Linked DNA regions of Neurospora crassa OR74A. The protein of the gene in region 2 binds, or shares a complex with, the protein of the main gene of each other region. Links are inferred from orthologs where the notes say so. Each region holds a gene or a part of one and is shown on either strand. Other genes may lie near its edges.

What was found.
Region 1: rpa-1 (region 2) and rpa-3 share a complex: the UniProt entries of both Schizosaccharomyces pombe proteins name them as parts of the heterotrimeric canonical replication protein A complex. The link is inferred for Neurospora crassa OR74A from reciprocal best matches to the Schizosaccharomyces pombe genes ssb1 and ssb3.

The regions. Positions count from the first base shown.
Region 1 is NC_026505.1:4,664,777-4,673,118, forward strand, and holds rpa-3 (replication protein A-3), read right to left. Parts: upstream 5,517-8,342; 5' UTR 5,363-5,516; coding exon 5,210-5,362; intron 5,063-5,209; coding exon 4,960-5,062; intron 4,819-4,959; coding exon 4,748-4,818; 3' UTR 4,376-4,747; downstream 1-4,375. Other genes in the region: NCU01461 (hypothetical protein), read left to right, coding at 11-3,876. UniProt on the Schizosaccharomyces pombe protein: As part of the replication protein A (RPA/RP-A), a single-stranded DNA-binding heterotrimeric complex, may play an essential role in DNA replication, recombination and repair.
Region 2 is NC_026505.1:1,819,330-1,828,859, reverse strand, and holds rpa-1 (replication factor-A protein 1), read right to left. Parts: upstream 5,332-9,530; 5' UTR 5,095-5,331; coding exon 5,063-5,094; intron 5,002-5,062; coding exon 4,741-5,001; intron 4,680-4,740; coding exon 3,240-4,679; intron 3,179-3,239; coding exon 3,079-3,178; 3' UTR 2,652-3,078; downstream 1-2,651. Other genes in the region: ilv-2 (ketol-acid reductoisomerase), read left to right, coding at 23-50; NCU03607 (threonine dehydratase catabolic), read right to left, coding at 486-1,102, 1,265-1,477, 1,750-2,086; NCU03605 (amidohydrolase), read left to right, coding at 5,922-6,840, 6,903-7,345. UniProt on the Schizosaccharomyces pombe protein: As part of the replication protein A (RPA/RP-A), a single-stranded DNA-binding heterotrimeric complex, may play an essential role in DNA replication, recombination and repair.

The DNA.
Region 1 (8,342 bases), about 2.8 Mb from region 2:
TGATGTATAGTAAAGGTGCTGTATACCTTCGATCGAGACGGCCAGGTGTCGTGCTTGGCCCGGTGGGCTCACATTCTCCAAATTCAAATATTACCAGTCGACGAGAGGACTACAATCGGCGTGGTGGACCTCCGAACATGTCTTCAGGCTATTGCGCAATGCAGCCCCGAGATTGTAAACCAACAAGAGAACGATTACACTGTTTATGCTGTCGACTATTCAGAGCCGGATACGCCCCTGGTCGGGCAAGGCATGTTGTCGTGGGGCCTGGAGTTAGCGACCGATCACAACAGCCAACGGCATCAACAACCGCAACTGGTGACGGGACGGGTAACTCGGACTTTGTTGCCCGTGTTTAGCAATGGAAGCCGCGAGACCCTGGAGGTCAAGATGAAGCTCACAGCCGTTGCCAAGATGCAGCGACTTGAGTTTCCTGACATGGATAACAACCTTAATAATATGCTCAGGTCCGACCCTATACAGCCTACAGACATCACCACATCTGAGTGGGCCTCATTCATACAGTCCAACCCGGGCCTAGGGAGCTCGGCCAATATGGCTTCTATGCACTCGCCCGCCATGTCTACCGCTCCGCTGAACGTCAATCTCAACGGCGATGGTCGCTATATGAGTGATCCGTCTCCACAACCCACTCGGCCAGCCAGCATACCACCAAGCGGTTCTCAGCCACAACATACCGGCCCCGTGATCAACAGCATGCCGCCCGTCCAGCCTGTTCCTCCACGGCCAGCTCCTACCGGCGAAAGCGCCTCATCCCCGGCTCCCAGCCAGTCTGTCGAGATCCCCATCAGCCAGTCGGCGCGTTCCACCTCGAGACCGTCTAGTAGAGCGTCCCGTACTAGAGCTCCTACTGGCAGACCACGAGGCCGACCGCGCAAAAAGCCTCTCGAAGCAGGCAATACGTCAGCCGCCGAGGAAGCGACTGATGGTGATGATGGCCCGCAAAAGAAGAGAGCCAAGGTCACCAGTGCCGAATTCACTAGTAGTGCGCCATTTGGTTCAGCCCCAGAGTCATTGAGAGTTGCGGCCAGTACATCCGGTTCTCTGCGTAACATGAGGCCTGTTGGAGCTGGTGGTAATTCCTCTTCAGGGAGTCATGTTCAGGACGTGCCTCGCGCTCCTACCCCTGTTCCAGACGGGTCAATGTTACAGCGACAACAGAGAAGGCTCATCTTTGAGAACAAAATGAAGTCTGACTTTGCGGGTGATGCAGAGAGCAGCATGTACCAGTCGCGCTTCGGTCAACAAACCATGCAGAGGAGTATAAGCCACGATGCCCGGTCACCCACCGACTCCATCGGCCAGTCACCAGACCAAGGCTACGTGCCTGAAGATAGTCCCGCCGATATTGCATCATCCCCTCCGGTTCCCAGGACTAGTGCCTACATGCACTCAAGTCCTTATGTTTCAAGCCCAGTTCTCCCGCCTATGCCCGTTCCTATGCCACAAGTCGACTCCGGCTTCATGAGCGGCGGGTTCGACGACATCTTCGACGAGGATGAGCTATTACAAGATGCTCCTCAAGACCACGGCCAAGAGCTACCCGGCCAGCCTCAAGATCGAACGGTGATGAGCCCTCCGGTACCTCAAGTCAGCAAACTAAATGCACGAAAAGGGAGCCAGGCCCATCGACAGGGTATCAACTTCCCCTTCCAAGAAGTCAATCCCGGACCAAAGGAGCTTTTGCCCACGAAGAGCATCTTCAACCCTGCTGGAAAGACGAAGGCGCTGAACAGAGTCGCACACGCCACATCAGTCCCACCCATACCGAAAAAGAACGCGGATCGCCCATTCAAGAGGTCGAATACAGCCCCAAACCCTTCACTGTCCGATCACGATCCCTTATCGCGACAACCTAATGATCAGCAAGATGGCGAAGCTCCTCAGGAAGGGACTGCTTCCCAAACCTCACAGGCAGATATGCAAAGCTCTCAAACTCAACATCGGCCGCCGTTCAACCCTCAGCAACAACTCGAGACCCAGAACACGGGAAACACATCAGCTCAGCCACAAGCTCCTGTCCCTGCTACCACTGTGATGCCCATTCCTGAACGACCCGAACCTGTTCAGAGCAAAGCAGCCCAACCAGCGTCAAAGCCCGTCTCGAACAGCTCTGTCCCGGCCAGCGACCCCGTTGTGGGATCTACTGGAACGTCATCCCGAGCAGTACAGTCTGAAGCCTCTGCTCGGGCTCGTGCACCTGCCCCCCAGGAACCTAGCGAGCCCGAAGAACCGCCTCGCTATAACAAAAATATGGTGAAGAAGCAGTCAATTAAGGAGAAACTGGAGGAGGCTATTCAAAGAGGAGAGTCGCCGCCATTTTGCAACAATTGTGGCGCCATAGAAACTCCTACCTGGCGGAAGATTTGGACGCAAGATCATCGAGGAGTTCCTGGTCTTTACGAGTTTTCCGATAAACCTGGATTTGTGACTACGATCGATATCCTCGAGAAGGATGCTGATGGACAGACCATTATGTACCAATTGGTGAAGAAAAATCTCGGGCCCACGGACGACAAGAAAATTTGGAAGGAAACTCTCCTCTGTAACCCATGCGGTATCTGGCTCGCCAAATTCAAAGTTCATAGGCCACAGGACAGGTGGGACAAGGATGCCGCCCGACTTAATCAGCCCCGAAAGAAGAAAAACTCGCGCAACAAAAAGCGAAAGAATGACACCCAGACAAACCCAACATCGGAGGCATATTTCACGACTGATCCAATTGGACCGGCCGATCAGGAATCACCGGAAGAGGCGCAACATCAAAATATGACTCAACCGACGCACCAGAACGTGGCCGCAATGGAGGACAGCAACAACAACAATAACAATCAATCATTGCATCAGATGATTTTAAACTCGCGTAGCTCCCCAAAGCGACGTGGGCTCGGGTCAACTCACTCTAGGGGCAGTGGAACGGCGGACAGCCCCATCGCAGTAGAGGATGATCTTGGCACTACTAGAAGGCTTCTCTTCCCCTCACCTAGGAAGGAGGGAGCGCCAAAAGTCCTTGGGGAGCTCATAAGTAACGCCGTCAATGCCACCACTGCGTCGCAAGACCCGAAGTCTGCTGCCATGGGCAAGGAAAACATCGGTCACCAGCCGGCAAGGCGCCCCAATACCCCTGTCCTTGCGGACCAGGACGAGCTTGACCAAGAACTTTTCGGCAGTCCAGTCGTCAGGCCGTCAACACCGCCCCCGAAGAACCCCTCTTCGGGTATCTTCAAGACGCCTACCCGGCCGACTCCGAATCACCGGCCCATTACTAGGAGTATATCTCGGTCCATCCGTACCGTTCGGTCGGCGCAGAAGTCACCCAGTCAGCTCTTTACGCAAACCCAACGAACCCCCACCAAGACTCCGCGCGGTACGCGTACTGTCTCCGGTAGCAACGGAGGCATTCTCGTTAGCGCGTCCAAGCGGCGAAGCCCCCGCCACGCACGCTTTGCGCTTGACGACAGCCTGCACGTGCCTACCTCGTCCCCAACCCACGACTTTGAGGCTTGGGGCTCGCTGAACCAACTGTTGAGTGAAGCTGACCAGTTCACCGCCAACTCGTCATCGCACGGGCTTCTGGACGTTAATATGCAGCACTATGACAGCGACAGCGTGCAACAACTCGTGGAGGGCGCGGGTGCTTTGGACTTTGGCAGTTTCATGGGTACCGATATGGTCATGGCTAGCTCCCCGCCTATGATGAGGGGTCATCACCATGAAGATGGTGGCAATGGCAATTTGAGCTTCGAGGCGTCGTTGAGCATCGAAAGCTTGTGGGTGGAGACTACGGCTACTAGCGGAGGAGGAGGGTGTGAGGCGGAGAGGAATGCCGCTGCTGATGTGGATGAGTTGAGTTAGGGCCTCAATGATCAGTCGCAGTCGGAGCAGGGGCCGAAGCCCCCCTGGGAGAACAGTTGAGCTTGGATCTCGATAATCTACGAGATCCATCCGCAGATCTCGCAACTCGTGTGATTGAGATACGAATGATGTTGCAGTGAATGGGCACGGTTATGGTCTGATTCCAGATTGGGAGAGAAGGAAATCCATATTTCGCAGCGTGGGCGCAAAAAAACACAAAACAAAAGGTCACTACGATTTACACCTCAACGAAAAGTGGGATGATTATTCTTGCACGCTACGCGCGACTCGCCGCATTTGTGAAGAGGGGAAAGTGAAATGGGTGTTTCGGGCGCAATACTGATTGGGATGGGCTGGGATATGGGATACCAAAGCGTTTTTCTCTCTTTTATTTTCACCTTTTTGTTTTGCCTCGTCTTGCTTTTTTTGCTGTCTGCCATCTGTTCCTATGCAGTCTGTAGTCCGAGTCTCGTACCCAGAGCACAACTGAATTACATCACAATTGTATAGCAGTTGAGACTGCCGCATATCGGACTCCTTCTCCACATTTGCTCTCTATTTCCGCTGAGCTGCTCCTGCAAGAAAAATAGATATTGCCGCCGCCATGTCGAAGCAGGCATGACAATAGTAAGTTGGTTGGCATGTTCGTTTCCCCGCAGTGCCGCCGCGTCTTGCGTGTGCGTGGCGCCTGCGGTCGCAACGCTTGGACTATTTCGACATTTGGTGACGAATATCGAAGTATAACTCGGATGAAGGGTTCTAAGAAATCTGGGTTCCATTTGTTATAGTTGGGTATTATTTTGCCTCTTCCTTTTCCCCCTTCTCTCCCCATCTCTGGGGGTGTGTAGTGGTTTCCTCGCGCCCTCTCACCTTAGTTCTCGTACACAAAGAGGGGCTTGTAACGATGAGTGACTTCCACGACAGCGTTTGCTAGGTTGTAGTCTGTTTCATGCGTAAGCACACGTAATATCTACAATGGTGTAGATAGAAGTATAGCGATCAAGGGAGGAGGATGGATGATGAGGGATGGTCACAAGAGAGGAGGAGGCGGGGGGCGATGGGGAAAGAGAAGAAGAAACTCACCAACACCCTGCCCCAAATCAACGGAGCTAAGCACTTTGATGGAAAGATCCGGGTTGACCTTGCCGATGAGTTGGACGCCGTTGTTTGCTGAGAGGTGTGCTTCCTGTAAGTTTTCGACATGTTTTGGTTAGTCATCACGGGACACTATCCAATCCATCATGACTCTTAACAGCCTTCGTTTCGTCTCTTATTCTTGAAGTTTGGTGGCACCAGTGGAAAAAAAAAAAGAAGGGCGAGAATCCGAACGTACGCGGTTCAAAAATGCATGAATGGTCCCATCAGCGTCAATAGTCGCCTCCTCGCCGCGTAGCTGGACAACTTTGCCTACGACCGTCACGAGCTTGCCGACATACTGGCTGAGATAGGCGCAGGTGATGCGGGGGGTGGAAGATTTGTTGTCCATTTTTTTTCCTCTTTCCCGTGTGTCCGTGAGCTGAAGAGTCCGCGTAGGTATGGAGAGTGTGGTGATTGAGTGGTGGGGTCGTGTTATTGGTGTTGTCGGAGAGTTGGAGTTTGCGGAGCAAAGAGGTCAATGTCGTGAGTGAGGCTGTTGTGAGGTTTCTGATACACTTTTTGTTGTTTGTTTGGGTTGGTTGATGATGGTCTTGGTTTTGTTTGCTGTGAATGTACTAACAGCTCAGTGCGGTTGCTTGGTGTGATGTTGTTAGGGGAAGGAGTTTCGTTACGTGCGGGGCACTGGGCCATGTACAGTGGAATCTCTGGAAACTGCATGTTATTCAGACAATGGGGACCCGCCGCGAGTGAGCTATTCACTGATCACAGTATATGCAGATTAGGGGGCTGAGTTTTGGTTGGGGACCTGGTTTCGTAGCCAAGCCTTGGTTTGCGGTAAGAGGGAGTGCTTTGGTGCTCATGCAGTATAAGGGTAATGCATTCGTAGGGGCTTCTATTGTAAAGGGTTTCAAGTTCAACACAAGTAACGAACGTCGTTGCTTCCGGGGTTTGAATGCCGTGCCGGCTATCATTGATTCACGGTCCTTCTTCAACACGAAGGAGGACATCCTTTCTGTGGATCAAAGATTCAACGTCACAGTCGAAAGCGCGTCCGATATCGAAGCGACAACAGCAATTCCAGTGAGGCACGATATTTGTACACTTCGCATGTATTTACTTGCTGCCTGCACTGTGCCTGCTTCCTTGGAATTCAGACCATGTGCGGTACAGTCGGCACCTTTGCTGTGAGCGACAGGGGGTCGAGAGCCCCACGGCATTCAAATCTGTGGGAATGGCGGGGATAAGGAAGCCTAGGAGCCCCACCATTTAGCGTCCTATCAGCGGGGTGGAGATGCGGGTCCCGATCTACGCGAGCTGGAACTCAACTTCAACTTCGCCAGAACAACGTCCTGTTGCGCCGCATTCAGCGACATCCCTTGGTTTCGTCTCGGCGGTTCGATCTTTGGATGAAAACTTGCCGTCTGTCTTGGGCACCATCGGGCTTTTTTTTCTTGTTCTCTTTCTTTTTTTGGTTTTTCATTTTTCTTTTTTCTTCTTCTGCTCTTCAAGAAATCTAGAGCTGGGGGGCATGGAAAGATATGACTGGCGAATTGGACTGGAGGGAACTCGCTCACTCGGAATCCGGCTCCGCCACGGTTTAAATCACCGGTGATTCTGTGGCTGCAAGTTCAAAGTCAAAAATCCCCTTGTCAGGTACCGAGCACGAACCACCATAGGCAAAGCTCATGACTTTGTCCAGGACACTGTGTGATCAGCGATCATCAGCGACCCGGCCCACGGGTTTTTACAGTGCCTGCTTACCCATCTCACCATAGTGCGTGACAGCATCATCCAGGGGACTGGCCAGGTCTTCTTGAGAACTCCGATGAAAGCGACAAGGAATCCAGTCAAGAGTCCAGATTCTCGACGCCGCTTATCTTCCAGCGCTCTCACGGGGAAAGTTTGAGCTTTAGATGGCATGCATTCAATTTGATGCTGGAGCTTGAACACAAATCATTTACCAAGTCGTCAATCAAGCATCTATCTGAGTCCTCAATTAAACATCTTTCAATGCCCGGTCACTTTGCTGGTACGAAGTTGCCTCGGGAAAAGGATGCCCAGATTATATCGTCCCCACATGCTGGTGAATAAGTGCTAGAGGTGGCAAAAGACATGGAGTCTGCACAAAGAGCTGTAAGGCAGCGGTATCATTCCACTTTGTAGCATGATCTCCATTCAAGCTGCTCGGTACATCCTGACAGATATGCACGCTCGGCCAGGGACAGGGTTTCGTGGATACCTTTTGGTGTCGCGAAAACGATGGCTCGAGATTGCGCCATGCCAGAATCGACTCCATTCACACCTTCGTCAAAAAGCCCCCAACTGGTCGCGGGAAGTTACTAGGAACCCCCAAGTCAATCGTTCCATTTCGTACCTTGAGGAATCATGTCAAGTCAGTTACCCGGCCTGTATGCAGCAACGCTAATGCACGTATGCCACTTAGGGTATATACTAAATATTGTTTTCGCGGCGTATCCGATGCTTCCGAAGCCGCAGTAGGGTATGTCGGAAGCCCGCCGGGAGGAGATGCTTGTACAGTGTTCAATGCCGCAGGTAGATCAGATCTACAGCAAGCCTTTCGGTATGGTGAGAGTGGAAGGGAAAGGGAAGGGAAGGAAAGGGAAGGTAACACAGAGCAAACTTACACAGTGGAGGTGTACGTTGTGCTCTCGTCCACTCAGCTTCCCCATGTCCTCTCCTCCATGATCACTTACAACCCCGCCTTGTACGACCAGGGCAGAGCACTTTCGAAAACCACCATTTCGGTTTGCTGAGGCTTAAGCCACCAGAATACAGAATACCTAAGTCTGCCCACCTAATCCATCAGATGGAGATTCTTGATTTCCCATCGCTGACCGGTTCTCTGTGCCATTAATCATGGTAACGTCTCAGCCATTGTCTTCCCATGGCGGGAACTTTGAACCTGGCCTCGGCCTGGCAGACTGGACTGGCCTTGGACAGTACCGCAAGCCAATTAGAAGCCTACCGCACCTTAGAATGTGTGGGTGTCTGGAGCTAACGCGTTCTTGTGCAGCGTAAACAGCTTAGACGCTTCCATACAAGTCACAAGCTGCCCGGATCATGGAAGGCAATGTTACATTGATCAGGGCCGGGATGCTACCCTCCTGAACTGAGACATCTGGCGGCTCCTCTTCTCCGCTCTCGTCTTCCAAGAGGCATTCCAAAAGGCGATGGGTCTCATTGCCGGCCTACCAGTCCAACGAGTCACCTCCTCATCCAGGCCAAAGCGCATCGCCCCTCATACACGACCGCTCTCTAGCTGAGGGGTCGGAGATCGGATGAAGCGAGTGAAGCTCTGGCCGAGCTCCCTCGTACGTTTCCGACCAACGCACCTCCAGGCACGGTAT
Region 2 (9,530 bases):
TAACATTTGTTTCTCTTCCTAGCTCCCTCCGTCCCGAGAACCAGAAGTAAACAATTGGCTTTTGATGCTTTTTGGTTGGGTCGTGATTTCTGCTTGCACGAGGGATACACAAATGATACTCCGGTAGTTGGGCAGGTTTGAAAAATAACAGATGCACACAACACGCTGCACAGGCCGCATCATATGACTGGCCGGCCGCTGGAACGGGACGGGATACCTCTGGGAAATATGGGGGATATTAAAAAGCCTTTTCTCCGACGTCTCTTCGATTTGGTTTGTTCTGGGTTCGGTTTGTTCGGATTGTATATAATTATCTTTATGGGGGGCCTCTGCCCGGTGGCATGTCGGTCAATGAACTTTTCTTTTTCTTTCTCTGTTCAATGGCTTGGTTTATGCATTAGTGGTCTGATTCTTGGACAGCAGACGAGCTGACATTGACTTCAACTCCTAGTTCCTCTTTATATAAGCTCCTCTCCTTGACCGGTCTATTCCTCACCAAACAACCTCCCCAACGCCGCCAGCTCAACATTCCCTCCGCTAAACACCACCCCCAAATCCCACCCTTCCTCCCCCCCTTCCCTCTCCACCATACTCCTAAACTCCTCATTAAATAACGCTACCGCCAACCCCACTACCGCGCTCGGCTCAACAACAACCTTCATCCTCTCATAAACCAGCCTCAGCGCCTTCTTGATCTCTTCCTCGCCCACACTGTACATGCCCGCCACCAGCTTCCGCTCATAGATGATACTCCACGGATACGCCCCCAGAGGAGTCCGCAGCCCATCGGCAATCGTCAAGGATTTGACGCTCTCGATGCGAGTGCCCGAGTAGTAACCCCGACGACCGTCGTCCGCGCCCGAGAAGGAGGGTTCGGCGCCGAAGACCAGGATTGGACCGGGTGTGGAGGGATCGGAAGGGGAGAGGTCGGAACAGGCGAGAGCGGTGCCGGAGAGGAGACCACCGCCGCCGCAGGGGGTTATTATCGCGTTAAGACGACGACGGTTGGTGGTGGTGGTGGTGCCGGAGGTGGAGAGAGAGGCGGCGACTTGGCGTTGGAGCTCTAGGGCGGCGGTGCCTTGGCCGAGGATGATGTCTGGGTCTGGTGTGGGTTGGGGTGGGGATGTTAGTTGGTCAGTTCAGTGTTGGGGTGAAGAGACGGGAGGATGAAAGTGGGCGAGAGGACCTCGAGAGGGTTTGAAGACACTCTGAAGAGACTCCTAAAGAAAGGACACGTGAGAAGAAAAAAGGAGAAGGGACATACGATCATAAGGCGGCACCAGCCTCGCACCCGTCTTCTCAATCACCTCCCTTGTAACTGCTTCACGCTCGGTACTCGTGCTTCCGCTAAAGGTTATGTTGGCGCCGTAACCCTTGGTGGCAGCGATCTTGGGCGGAGGCGAGATGGTAGGCATAACGATGTGCGCCGGGATGCCGTTCTCGCGGGCAGCGAGGGAAAGGGCTTGGGCGTGGTTACCTTTTAGTTCGTTGTCACGTCAGTTTGGGTCTTCACGTAGCTACTACGTCTTGAACACATCGACAACTCTCATCACATCTCAGAAGACAATTCAGACAACTCAACCTATTTCAAAGCCTTCAAAAAAACTTCACATCTTCACAATCTCATTTCTCTCAATACTGATATCACCTCATCATATCCAGATTAAAAGAAAAAAAAAAAAAAAAAAAAAAAAAAAAAAAAAAAAAAAAAAAAAAAAAAAAAAAAAAAAAAAGCGGAAATTCACAAACCAGAACTATGCGTCACTACTCCGCCCTTCTTCAACCCCTCTAACCCCTCAGTTTGCTTCAACCTCTCCACAGCATGAAACGCTCCTCTAGCCTTGAACGCGCCAATCCGCTGGAAATTCTCGCACTTGAACCAGAACCGAATCTTTGGGTTCGCCGGTCTTTCGGTAGCCTCCCATTCCGTTCCTTGCAGCTCTTCGGGAGTACGAGGGGTGGAAGCGAGTTGGTCGAAAGTGGTATTCGTAAGCACGGGCGTCTCGTGAATGTAGGGCTTTATGAGGGAGTGAGCGGCGAGGACGGAGGCACGGGTAAGGGGAGGGGTGGTGCTGGGGTCGGCCATTTCGTTGGAGGTTTGAGAGGTTGAAGCTTGTCACTTTGTTGTTGATGTTGGTGGAAGGTGATGAGTGTAAGTAGACAACAAGAAGACACTGAATGGGATAGAGAAGTATGAGCAAAGATAAAGGTTTAACTTGGTCTTAGTGCTGACACGAATACGGTTCAAACGTGATTTCAATAGTCTTTTGTTCTAGAACTCGGTGTCAGCTTCCCGCTACATCGAAAGTGGGGGGCCCGAGGGAACGGAGCGGGGGCGGGTCTGGACGGCGGATATGTGGAGTCACGGCAGGGGATCCCGACGACGGCCGATAAGGAAGATACGGCGTTTAGGTTCCTGTCATCCATCTGCGTAATCGATAAGTGCCGATACGGTATCGAGCAGCTAAACAGTCCGCATAGAGACCGGAGCCGGGGTGCCTATTCACATAACGGAAGTTGGAAAGTGAAGAAAGATGACCAGGAAAGGCTGTGCCACGGGTTCTTTGCGTGAAAAAGCTGAAGCATAGAAGAGTTTGAGAATACGAGAGGGTGAAGAAGGCCGATAACGGATGAGATGATCGGATTGCCATGTGGATATTGAGCCCGAAAGGTGCGTATTACATTGCAAGGACCGCCCTGATCCGACCTTGACCAGCTCTGGAGCTTTCTTCTAGTCAACGAAGCGTGTGTACTTACCTCGGCATGTTATCGAAGATAACTCGAACAGGAAGGTCTCCTAGTGTCTCAACTCCAAGATAACGCTTGAGAGACCTATTCAAGTCTGCAATCATGCCGAAATTTGCTGCCACGCCAACAAAGTTCTGTTAGGGTTCGGCCCATCACAGCTCTTAACCATCCCAGTCCATCATGAAACTGCAAATCATCTTTCAGTCGATAGGCCAGTGATGCCCATATCGTTCATCCTTGAGACCACATGCCCGAAAATACAAACACGTGTTCATTAACCATATACATCATCTAGTTCCTCGCATAAGTGAACAAACCCCACCCTCCCCTTTACATGCTCATTTGGTTGTAAGAATTGATGAGCTCGTTAAGCTTGTTTCCTTCCATCTTGTAGTCAAGGGGCGCCACGCTCATGACCTGGTATCGAATCCTGCAACAAGCAATGTGTCAGCAACGTCCATCTAATCGTGAGAATAACCCCCGATACGTACCTCTGCTGTTCACCAAATGTGTCCATCTTCGCCCTGCACCTAAAGTTCAGCTTGCGGCAGTTGGCCTGCTCAAACTCGGCGGGCAACCGCGTCTCGTCGGTCTCTCGAATCTCCATAAGTTCATCGGCCGACTTGCCCATGATGACCCGCGCCGTATCGTCGAAGCAGCTAAGCCAAAGTTGACCTGTGTGGTCGTTGACGTTGACGCTCATAATGTAACGGTACTGAGGTCTATCGTGGTTGATCTGGCACTTCTCGCAGCGCCAGGTACCATCACCCATATCTGTGACCTTCCTGTTACAGCCTTCGCTTCGGCACCCAGGGTAGGCAAAGTTATCCTGCTTGATGAATACAACCGTTGCCTTGAGAGCGAAGTAATCCGGCGCCTCGTTTGTGCCAAGGTTCTCTTCCTTTACTTGTGAGATGGTCTTGGCGTCGTCCTTGCGACCGGTCGCACCACCCAAGGTCTGCATGTTGTTGTGGGTGGCGAAGGTGTTGTTCCTGCCGCTGCTATCATACCAGCCCTTGAGATGATGGGCCTCTGGAATATCCGGATCGATGGCCATGGTGCCAGACGAAAGCAGGGACAAGCTGCGTCCACCGAAATCGCTGACCTTTGTGCCCTTGAAGGCCACAATGGATTCAGGCTGAGCATCAAAGTTCGTGGCCGTCTTACCCCAGATGGTACAACGTACCGAGTACCCAGTGTTGTCAACAAGGGTCAGCTCGCGCTTGTCGTACGGCTTCTGTGTGGTCTTGGATACAATCTGGGTCACCTCTTGGACCTCCTTGAGGACACCAATAATATCGACAGTCGCATCCCTCTCAACATCCTGAAGCTCCTGGATGTTGACAAAGTTGAAGCGTACCTGTGGTACAGATGTCTGGTCTTCGGCCTTTTCGATCACGGTATCCCGCTCAAAGGTGAGCTCGTAGTCATTGGGGAGATTCGACCATTGCTTCTTGGCAAGCTGTACCCTGCAAGGTGTAGAAATGTAGTAAACCTGACCCTCCTGTAGCAAATCATAGAACTGGTCGACTTGGTCGTTGAATCCTGTTGCTCTAATTTCGCCACTCTCGTCAAGAAAGTTGACGCTGAAGAGCTTGCCCTCGCCGCTAGCCTTGTGCCAGGTCTTGATATCGGACTTGGAGGTGACTCTGGCCTTGATGGTCCATTTGTGCGAGAAGGGCGAGAGACCTTCAATAGGATATATCGTGCTTGATCCCTGACCCCCGCTGGCATTACGCGAGGGCATCTGGCGTGGAAACTGTGGTTTCGTGTCTTGGGTAGGTTCGCTCTTGACGCCATAGAAGCCGGTGCTGCCGAGATTGGGGTTCTGCTGTGGTTCTGCACTGCGGGGGCCAAGAGGCTGTGGATCGCCCATCTTTTCGGGACAGCCAAGGGACTGGATAACTTCGAGATCGAGGACAATCAAGATGCTGGATTTAAACAGTCAGTGTTATGGATTTCCCGAATTGGCGGAGGGGTAGATAGGCGTACTTTTTGCCCTTGAGACATTGAGCTTGATACTGCTTCAAGCGCACGATGCAGCCGCGTTGCAGGAGGCCATCGTGAACAAGATGGTTTGTTTGCGTGGCCATCATACATTGGACATAGTTCTTGAGGTCGCTCAGCACAATGCGGAACCTCTCCGTGGCGCCCGCGCCCCCATTCTTGGAGTCGAGGGTCTTGATCTGGAGACATTGAAGGATGGGGACAGGGAACTGTTGTTGTGCGCGATCGGGATCATTGAACATGGCGCTATAGCAAGAAGTCAGAGTCTGTCATACTACTGGATGGAAGCACACGTGAAGAAACCTACTCCAGAGCGCCCTGTGTGATTTGACCCGCCATGTTGGTTGGGTAGTGTTGGCGTCAAGCCCGTGGAGACGTTCTCGATGTTGTTTTTGAGGTTGATTTATGCGTGAGTCGTGTTCGAAGATGCAAGGATTGGGGCGCAGAAGTCAAGAAAGATCCGACAAGATACGGATGGATCGAGTGTGTTGGACTGATGATGATGGTGGTCTGGAGGGGAAATTTCACACAAACAATGGACTGCAGCAGCGACGCGTTTGGCAGCGCGTCGAGGAGGGGCAAGAGTTTAATTGCTAGGCATCCACGGTCCGTGCGGAGGGCCCCAGTTTGTATAGCGCGTGTAGTTTGCGTTTGCCGGGGAGTGTTGCTGCCAAGCGCTTCTGACAAGCATGGCAGTTGCCCGCCAACCCCATATCTCCACATCAAACCCCACCCGAGAGCTCAACTTCAGCAAGTTCCAGGGGCTCAACTTCCCTCTTGGCCTCGTTCACTTCTTAAGCTTTTGGAACATGTCATGATTTCTCTGTCAGGTCTTGCAGATAGAACCCTTTTTGCTAATATATTCGCACAATCATGTGATGACTGTACATAACAAGGGTATCTTTCTTCCGGTGCTGTAGGAAGACGAAAGGGAAAAGGACCTTGGGTTCCTCAAGGAAATGGAAACCGAAGACGGGAGGTAACCATTCTTGATCAGGAACCCTATCTTTGAATCTTTCGGTGTGAATTGTCCCGTCTTGGGCCTGCCCTTTGCATGCCGAACGTACCCCACCTCGTCGTGGTTCCTGGCTGTCTGTGTCGATCCCATCTCCCACCCCCTCCTGACCATCGAGGTACTCTCCTCGTACTGTAGCGCGTGCCTGCCTATGCTAAAACGAATACAAAATATAAGAAGGAGAAGGCTCGATTGGAAGTTCCCCCGTTGCCTCAGTTACATCCCATCCATACCTCTACTTTTGTGTGTTCAGCGTTGGTCTGCCTGCAGGACGGTACACCGCTTCGACGTCCTGACCTTCCTACTTCCTGTCATCTCTGACTTTGCTTGCTTCGCTTGTCTCCTTCTCTTTCTCTATCACTGGATACCTTACTTTCTTGCCAAACATATCCGTCGCTTTACCAAACTCGAGCTCGATAACGGCCTGATCAAAATGGCATCATCTCCCGCCGTTTCCGTTCCCATCATCGACACCCATGTGCACCTCTATCCCCAGTCCGAGGTAGAATCCCACCAGTGGTACGCTGAAGACAATCCTCTCGCCAAGCAGCACTCCATCCAGGAATACCAGACCGCCACCGGTGCGCCTGGCAATCTTCAGGGCTACGTCGCAATTGAGGTCGACCGCAAGAACGACAATGCTAAGGATTGGACTTACCCCCTACAAGAGATCGCATGGCTTCGCCGCATCGTAACCGGCCAACCGAAGCCTGGCGAGGGCCACACGGCTGACGATGGCCGTGATTGTCTCGGAATTGTGCCGTGGGCGCCGGTTGTATTGGGCTCTGCCGAGTTGGAAAAGTATCTCGCAGCTGCGGAAAAGGAAGCCGGGCCTGAAACATGGGCCAAGGTGAAGGGTTTCCGCTACTTGCTGCAAGATAAGCCCAACGGAACAGCCCTAAGTGACGATTTTATCGAGGGCCTGAAGCTGCTTGGCAGAAAGAAGTTCGTCTTTGACCTGGGTGTTGACCAGCACAAAAGAGGGAGAATCCAACTGGAGGAGGCGGTAGAAATGATCGACCGTGCACACGAAGGTGTGGACGAGGAGGACAAAGTGGTATTTATCCTGAGTAAGTTTTTACCTTGACACATTCTGCATGATTTGCTTGCTAACTGATGGTTCTCATCTCAGACCACCTTTGCAAGCCAGATCTAACCATCGTCAATGTACAAACGGATCCCTCATACATCGCCTGGCGCACCGCCATGTTTACTCTCAGCAAGTGCGACCGTACCTACATGAAACTGAGCGGCTGCTTCAGCGAGATGCCCGAGTTTTTGAGGGCTCGCCCGGCCGAGGAAATTCTCTCTGCTATCCTACCCTGGCTTGCTGTGGTGATAGCCGCCTTTGGGCCCGAACGCATCATGTTTGGCAGCGACTGGCCGGTGTGCACTCTAGGCCTTGGTGATGAAGCCTGGAAGAAGTGGCGCAGAGTGGTGGAGATGACGTGCCATATGGCCGGCTTGGGACCCGAGGCTCAGACAAGGCTCTGGGCGGAAACAGCGAGGGAAGCGTACAAACTTGATAGTCGTCCGGTCTACAAAGTCGTAGACTTGACGAGAAGCGACGAATAGCGGCGGACCACTGAATATTAAGATTAGTACCACCACAAACAGGAAGGCTGGCTTCTTCCTTAGTCAAACCCCAACGCTTGAAAGGCAATGTCGAATTCATGACTTGCATGTGGGGAACGTTATCCTCTCAGAGAAGCGGTGCTTAGAACTCAGGACAAAGGGTTATTCTGGAGATTTGGACATGTTGTACATATATTCATGTTCGGACGCAAATCTTCTTGCGCTTGATCAACCTTTTGGCATCACGACGAACTTAAACATAATTCAGCGCTTCTGACGACCCAGAATTGGGAGCCATTCTACATAGATACATATGTGGGAATACCAAGCTCCCCTATACAGCAGGAAAGTCGGAAAGCTGAGCGTGTCTTCAAATTACGACAGCTGATTTCATGCAACCGAATTGATATAGCAGAAAGATGATCTGCCCAACGTGGACAGATTCACGGCGATTAACGTCGAGTGTCTTACAGCTTGAGACGTGAGACTCCAAGCCAATTGCTAACCTTCATGTCTCCTTCCCTTTAACGTCTGACTGTTGCTCGGTAACCAAGCAGACTACCTCCAAACATCAGGCATGGGTTGATCATCTACCTCTTTCACCCCATCTCTCAGCACCTCGAAATGGGGCGTGTTGTCAAGTGGTCCAATGAAGCGTTCAACAGGCTAGACTCTCAGGCGCAAGCCTACACCTTTTTTCTTTTGTCTTTTTTTTCTGCTTTTTTGACGAATGGCTGAATCCTACAGGTTGAATAATGTTGACATTCTAACTCTGCATGTGTCTCACGAGTTGTCAACGAAGGTACCGGGAGATATACTTTCTAGAACCCAGTGATCCCAAAAGGAGTAGGAGTGTCCAAAATATCCTCCGTGCTCCCACCCACCTATTTTCCAGGTATGCTTCCATAACCCTTCTCAAATGCTTCCATCTTCCTCCCAATGTCGCCGTGTAACACCAGTTTCTCAAGTCTCCAAGTACAAAACAGTCACTTCCGCTAGTCGAGTAGGACTTTATAACCAGTAACTCATCTAGAGGTACCGGGTTTCACCTTCTTATTCATTCATCGCCAGGGGGAAGACATCTTTTCCTCTCTCCGTCTTGCGAGCGAGAAGATGATATATATCTTGGATCTTCCCGTACCTTACACACATACTCAACTTGAATCTGATGTCGTACACTCGCGGAGCACACACGCTTCGGCCATGTCACAGCCAGTGAATCAGTGGAATTACTTTGTTTCTCGTGTTAAACGTGTGTGGAACCAGCTAGCTGATGGCCGTATGGTGGCGTCGGTGATGAAGTGTGTTTCAAGGTAAGGACACACACACACACACACGTCGGGACACACTGGGACATACGCTGGCTGGCTGGTGCCTGGGTTCGTGATACCTTGGGGTGGTAGGTAGAGGTAGAGTTGGGGGAGTTACACGACATGTCATGTCACGTATGCCGTTTGGTAAAAAGATCCACAAGTTTATACTATCTGCGTTCATGTAATTGTTGGCATAAGATTGTAGTACTAACTGGAGAACTGGAGGGCGGGGAGGACTGAATGGCTTGCTGTTATTGATACCAACTGAGATAGAGTTGCATGACGACTAACTATCTTCTTGTGGGTGTACGTAGAAGTGAGGTGGCAGGCTTCTGGAAATTTCCTGGATGTTAATGTGTCTTTTTTTGGGTTGCACGGGATGTAGGTGATTCGAGGGTATCGTGTTTGGATGTCTTGTTTCGTATGACTACGATCCAGAGTTATTTCGGATAAAGTCGAACTTGGTACTTGTTCACAGGTATCGTGTTACCATTAACTCAACCCGCCGAAAGAATATGCTAGAAAAAACATCAGCACCAATTGGGTCCAAACCAAAGGTTCCTTACTTGCCTACGGCTTGGAGGTATGGTCCAAGCCGTTGCTATCAACATCGACAATCTATTCTATGACGCAGTTCTCATTGGTATAGTTGCATTGTGTCCAAACAGGCTCACCATTATCTCATCTTTTCCTCCATTCATACGGTCACCACCTCTGATCCTATGTTGTCAATCCGTGTCTCGGTGCCCCACCCCGTTCACCCGGTCTCCCATCACTGTCAAGTACTGCAGTCCGTCCGCTTGAGATCCGTTCGCTCGCCCGTCCGTCGGATCATCCGAACTTCCATGTTTGTCGACTCAAGGGAAGTTCGA